2 linked regions of the Cricetulus griseus genome follow. The protein of the gene in region 2 interacts with the protein of the main gene of each other region in a biochemical or structural test. Links are inferred from orthologs where the notes say so. Each region holds a gene or a part of one and is shown on either strand. Other genes may lie near its edges.

What was found. The genes of interacting proteins can lie anywhere in the genome.
Region 1: of the proteins of Uba1 (region 2) and Cdc34, one has a biochemical effect on the other in vitro, tested with the Homo sapiens proteins (7 studies listed by BioGRID, with this or other methods). The link is inferred for Cricetulus griseus from reciprocal best matches to the Homo sapiens genes UBA1 and CDC34.

Annotation. Positions count from the first base shown.
Region 1 is NC_048598.1:100,496,366-100,500,118, reverse strand, and holds the end of Cdc34 (ubiquitin-conjugating enzyme E2 R1), read right to left. Parts: coding exon 3,696-3,753; intron 3,607-3,695; coding exon 3,433-3,606; intron 758-3,432; coding exon 547-757; 3' UTR 248-546; downstream 1-247. UniProt on the Homo sapiens protein: E2 ubiquitin-conjugating enzyme that accepts ubiquitin from an E1 ubiquitin-activating protein, and catalyzes its covalent attachment to other proteins by an E3 ubiquitin-protein ligase complex. In vitro catalyzes 'Lys-48'-linked polyubiquitination.
Region 2 is NC_048604.1:125,487,740-125,490,284, forward strand, and holds part of Uba1 (ubiquitin-like modifier-activating enzyme 1), read left to right. Parts: intron 1-228; coding exon 229-424; intron 425-1,071; coding exon 1,072-1,146; intron 1,147-1,265; coding exon 1,266-1,455; intron 1,456-2,494; coding exon 2,495-2,545. UniProt on the Homo sapiens protein: Catalyzes the first step in ubiquitin conjugation to mark cellular proteins for degradation through the ubiquitin-proteasome system.

The sequences.
Region 1 (3,753 bases), on a different chromosome or scaffold from region 2:
AGACACAAATCCCAGGCCCAGCCTCCTGACTACAGGCTTGATATGGATGCAGGTTGATGGAGCCGCCGTGCAGTGCCTGACGCAGGCGAGCCCGATCTGCAGGCAATCAGGAGCTGCTTCTGGGCCGGGGCCCTCAGACCACTGAGCCCGATGAACAGACAATTTTCAATCAGTGCTTCCTCCTGCCCATCCCACGGCCCTGGCCGAGCTGCCCACTGCCACTGGCGTCCTGGCTGCTTCTCCCAGCTTCTCAGAAAGCCATTTTATTTGGATTTCACACACACCAAAGCAGAGAGGAGGTGACTGTGGGGCTGGCCCTGCTAGGTCTGGGATGGAGTCTCTGCCTCCCCACCAGGCGGTCCCCAGCCTCCCAGGCTTGTCACCATCTGTGAGCTGAGTGGGGTGTCTGTCAGGCACCACGGGGTAAGAGGACCTAAGGGTCACGGGACGGGAGCCCACATGGAACCTCAGTGAGGTAGTCTATCGCCTGAGGCCCACACGGGTCCTGCTGAGGTAAAATTTGTAAGTTTATTTCAGGGACGCGGGTCAGGACTCCTCGGTGCCAGAGTCGTCCTCTTCGTCCCCAAAGCAGCTGTCGGCCTCCTCCACTTCGCCGTCCTCATAGTAGTCATCGTAGAAGAGGTCTGAGCCCTCGTCGGGCGCCGGCGCCTTGGTCTTCACACAGTACTCAGCCAGCGTGGTGGGCACCTTCACGCCATCACGCTCTGCGTCCACCTTGGTCCCCAGGACCTGCTTCCTAGGGAGACAGGGGAGGTGAGGCCGTGGCCCAGGCAGGATTCCAAAGACAATGGATAGAGGGTGAGAGGGTGGAAGGAAGGGGCTAGGAGACAATGGGTGACTCAGTGACCAGCTTCCAGGCAGGAAAGTAACCACAGCCAAGTGCAGGACACAGGCCTATCGCCTGGCACTTGGAGGCTGAGGCCGGAAGCTGCTGTGAGTCTGGGGCCAGCCTGGGCCACTGCAGGGCCAGAGAGGATGCAGTAAGAGCACGTGTTGTGCAAGCACAGGACCCACGCTCAGTTCCTAGTACCCACACTGGCTGCATGGCAGCTCTGGGCCTGCAATTCCAGGCAGACAGTGACAGAGCAGGACACCAGACTTTGTCCCTTGGTTTCTTATGTATGCACCCACTCACACACCACACCGACACCAAACAAACTCCCAAATTGCAGGCCTAGCCGAGGCACTGTGAAGGCCAGTGCCGGAGGCCTACGGTTGGGCCTGGGGGAAGTGACAGGGACACCAGTCTGGCTTGGCTTCACTCTGAAGCAATAATCTGCAAGAGCTTCCCTGCACAAGGGCAGCAATTAACTAAAGAAATCAGGCCTGGGCTAGAGCCTCAGGTGCCCTGAGGGGCCAGGCTGTCCTCAGGGTGCAGGTCCTGATGGGAAAGGTGAAGAGTAGGGCAGACGCCGGTCTTAGCTTCCCATGGAGAAGGGAGTGTGAGACATTGTTGGAGGGGCATCTACCACAATGCATCATAACAGCCTAGACCTGTCTCAAGGCTCTTCCCACAGGCTTCCAGCTGGCGTGTCGCTGTGTCTAGACACTGGCTCTTAGGCTGAGTTCCAGGAGTAGTACAGGGCCTCCTCATGGTCATAGCAAGTGGCTCCTGGAGTCAGAATGGTAAAAATAGCCTGGGGCTTCTGCTCTGGGACAGGGACACAGCAAGGAAGCAGCAAGGAACTGGATCAAAGGCTGCCAGGAGGCAGGGGATCCAGACCCAAAGCTTTCACTGGTGCCACACCCAATGGTGCCCTGTGCACAGCAGAGTCCAAGGCAGCCTGTCAGACACCATTATGTCCCAACTGTCAGGCTGACAGGAAGTGGGTGGTGGAAAGGGCTCAGTGTAGCCATGGCAAACTCAAAGCTTAAAACATTTACTTACAAATGACAGACAAAACAGCCAACAACAACAAAAGGCCATAACTAAGCCACATGGTGGTGGCACTTGCCTTTAACCCTAGCACTCAGGAGGCAGAGGCAGGTGGGTCTCCGAGTTTGAGGCCAGCTTGGTCTACATGGCTAGTTCCAGGACAGCTAGGGCTACATATTAAGACTTTGTCTCAAAAAACTAAGAAAAGAAACCCCATAGGACATCTTGCCTTCTTCCCACCTGGGGATGGGCAGGACAGCTGAGCAGAGGACAGAGGAACAGGGCTGCTCAACACTCAGACATTCCCAAATAACTAATACCTCCACACAGGACCACGGCAGCTACACAGTAGAGGGGAGGCCTAGGCACATCTTATTCTGAGGCCAGAGACCCTGGTCCAGGGTCTTGCTGTTCCAGCACTGATCACCAAGCTGCAGTCTGTGTCAATTCTGAGAAGTCAGGCCTGGCTTCTGCAGGACAAGGCCCAGGGGCCCCTGCAGTCCATGGCTGCAGGCTGACATGTGTGGCTTGCTCAGCATGCCTGCTGATGGGCCCAGGCCACTGCCAGTGTGGGAACAATACAGGCCTGTGTGTTTGGGTCACCGTGTGTGGACAAGCACCTGTCCTCCTGCGTCAGTGCTGAGGCAGGGGACTGCTGGTTGTGAGGTGTTATGTCACCCTGGCACCAGGAGGGAACTTGAGAGGAGGAGGATATGGGGTTACAGGAAAGCCTGTCTCAGAAAACAGAGAGAGAAGTCAAGTGACCAGGCCTGGGAATGTGGGAACCGGCATGGACATTTAGCAGGGCTGAGAGGCTGTGGGGCTTGACATTTGCCTAGAATCCTGCAAGTGCAATCTCACACCCTGCTTTAGGGGTATAAGGGAGACCACCTGACCCCCAAACAAGCCAGGAACCCCTGCTGAAAAGTGATGATGGATATGGAGATTGTCATATTGGCTCCTGAGGACAGGTCACAGTAGGCTGTGACCTTCCTCCTTTGCAAAAAGGCTCTAAGTTTCGGAACCACAAATACAAGCAATGCTTACAGAGGCAGTTGAGGATGTGGCCTATAAGTGCCCCAGTCACCCATGAAGACAAGCCAAAGAAAGGCTCTTGGCCATCTTGGGTGGTCTACTTGGTGCTCTGGGCACACAGTCCTGTTCTTTCCCTCTCCAAGCTCAGGATGCATGATTGGAAACACAACAGTTGCCACCCCAGGGAGCAGCTGTGCTATAGGGGAACAGAGAAGAGCTGACATGGGAAGGGGTTTGTGTTGTGCTCTGTGGTGTGTACCCCCCGCACCGTGATTTCGAGACAGGGTTTCTCTGTGTAGCTTTTGGAGGCTGTCCTGGCACTCGCTCTGTACACCAGCCTGGTATCAAACTCACAGAGATCCACCTGTCTTTGCCTCCCGAGTGCTGGGATTAAAGGCATGCGCTACCACCGCCCGGCAACACAGATGACTCTTACAGCAAACAGTTATCTATTACAAAGAGGCCCTGCGGCAGCGCTGTCCGGCATGACCGGCACTCACCGGATGATGTCTGTGTACTCGCGGTCCTTCCCCTTGCTCTCCTTCCACTTTCTGTACATCACTGAGGCGTCCACATTGGCGGGCGAGAAGGTGTTGGGCTCATTCAGCAGGGAGATCACACTCAGGAGGATGGTCCTGTGGGGCCGTGAGTGCAAGCTCAGCTCCCTACAGACCCTGGGGACCCCAGACAGGTGGAGCAATAAAGGAGGGACAGGGGCAGGGTGTTTTGGAGTTCCCTTGGTGTGAGGACACATGCAGCTCACCTGACATTCTGCGTGGGGTTCCACCGCTCTGAGGGCAGCTCCCCACTCTGTGGGTCGT
Region 2 (2,545 bases):
CACACCTCACTCTTCTGCCTGCCACCCAGAAACATTTTATGCTTTTTTTCAGTTGTCACCCTCTGCACTAGGTACACTTTTTTCAAAGGACTCTAAATGTTCAAGTCTCATGCTGTGGAAGAATCAAGACGAGTTTTCTGTGGAGAAAGTGGGATTGCCCTAGAGCCTACTTTCCTGGGGGGGGGGGCATTGTATAATCTTGCCCCTGGGCCATTCACTCCCTAATAGAGACCCCAAGTTTGTGGAACGGACCTTGCGGCTGGCGGGTACCCAGCCATTGGAGGTGCTGGAGGCTGTGCAGCGCAGCCTGGTGCTGCAGCGACCACAGACTTGGGGTGACTGCGTGACCTGGGCCTGCCACCACTGGCACACCCAGTACTGTAACAACATCCGGCAACTGCTGCACAACTTTCCTCCCGACCAGGTAATGTCCACTCGTGTCCCATTTGGCAGCATGCACTGTCTTGCGAGCAGTTTGCTGCAGACTCTTTTCAAGTGACTCCTCCTAGTTACTAGTTCAGACATGGCTGGTGTCCAAGGCAAGAGATGTCAGAAGAATAACTTTTTTGTCCAAGGAATGTCCAAGGAGTGACCTCATTCCTTGGAGCAAGATGATTGGTTCTCTTGCTGTTCCCCTTCCCTGCAGTGTAGGCCAAGTCTGACCTGATTTTTGTCAGGGCTGTAGTGGACCATGAAGTAGAGATTCTGGACTTGGGAGGACAGGAGTAAACATGTATTCAAATCCCAGCTCTCTCTGAACTTGGGCAAGTCACTTCTCTCTGTTCCTTTCTTTAGCTACAAGGAGGAACAGTTGTGATGTTTCACTGGTATTTATTAATACTATGTACATGCCTGGTGATCCAGTCCTCTGCTAAAGAGGTTTGTGAAGAAAGTAAGAATTAGTGGTGGCTTTCTCAGCCAGGACCTTGCAGTGTGGATCTTAGATGATTGATTCCAGCCCTTCCAGGGACCCAGCCAAGGGTAGCAAGTTGGGGCGCATCCAAAGCCAGTCAGGATTGTCAGAGAGGCCTTCATTTCAAGATCTGCTTCTTGAAACTCTCTTTGTTTTAGCTTACCAGCTCAGGGGCCCCATTCTGGTCTGGACCTAAACGTTGTCCACATCCACTTACTTTCGATGTTAACAATGTAAGTCTCCTTGTTGGGTTTTCCTGGGATCAGGTAGAGGATGGGTGGGTGGGAAGGAGGTGGTGACTTCCTATCCAAGGGCAAATGTATTAACCCTATTGTGCCCTGCCCTCCCCTAGACACTGCATCTGGATTATGTGATGGCTGCTGCCAACCTTTTTGCCCAGACCTATGGGTTGACTGGCTCTCAAGACCGAGCTGCTGTGGCCTCACTTCTGCAGTCCGTACAAGTTCCAGAGTTCACCCCCAAGTCTGGTGTCAAGATCCATGTTTCTGACCAGGAGTTGCAGAGCGCCAGTGCCTCTGTTGGTGAGGGTGTTTGGCTATTTGGTCAGAAGTCCCTGTCTCTAGTTTCCCCATTAGTCCTCTTCTAGTAGCTCTGTGACCTCACCTTCCTTTGCACTTCCCTCCCTCCCTCCTCTTTCCCACTCTAGCAACCAGGAAAACAAACTTTGTTCTTGCTTGGTGTATATTTGCCTTGGTTTTATTCTTTCCTCTGTCTCTCCTTGATCTGTTCATCTAGGAGGTATGATCTCCAACAGGGGTCTCCTCCTGATTCTTGCCTACTTTGTTTCCTTCCAGATGTCCCATGTCTCCCCATCCATGCATCCCTCCCATCTCTGTCTGTCTTAACCCTAATGTTGTCCATCAGAATTTAGTCCTCCTGCCTTCCCTTTTGGATATCTGTAATGTGTTTATAGTTCTGTATACCACCTCCCCTGTATTGACTTTACCTTTTCTCCATCTTCTAAAATACCTGTTTCATGTTCTTTGTGTATTTCCTTTAGTCTTTTCTTCTACCTCCTGCACAGGTTCCCTCTGACTTTTTTCTCATGTTTCCTCCTCCCTATCTCATCCTTCATCATTCCTCTTTTCATATATTCTCCACCTTCTCAGATCCTTCCTATCCTTGTTTGTATACTTCCCCATATTCCCACCATGTCTTCTGTGTCTCTATATACAATATCTCCCCAAGACTGACAACCCCTTCTATCTGATCACTACCTCACCTCCACTTTGTCTTACTGTCTTTGTTTCTGCTCCTAGTCTCTCTCCAGATCTTGATAGCCTCTGCTCCTGCCCTTTTCAGGTTTGCTCTCTGTTGTTTTCCTTTCCCCTTTGACCCTTCATTCTAGGATCTCTTTCTCTGTCTCTCTCTCTCTGTCTCTCTCTCTGTCTCTCTCTCTCTCTGTCTCTCTCTGTCTCTCTCTCTCTCTGTCTCTCTCTCTCTCTCTCTCTCTCTCTCTCTCTCTCTCTAGATTCTCTATCTAACTGAATTCCTTTTGCCCTATATAGCTTTTATCCTCACTCCCTGCATCTAAAGGACCGGATTTTTCTTTTTGTGCAGATGACAGCCGTCTTGAAGAGCTCAAAGCTACATTGCCCAGCCCAGACAAGT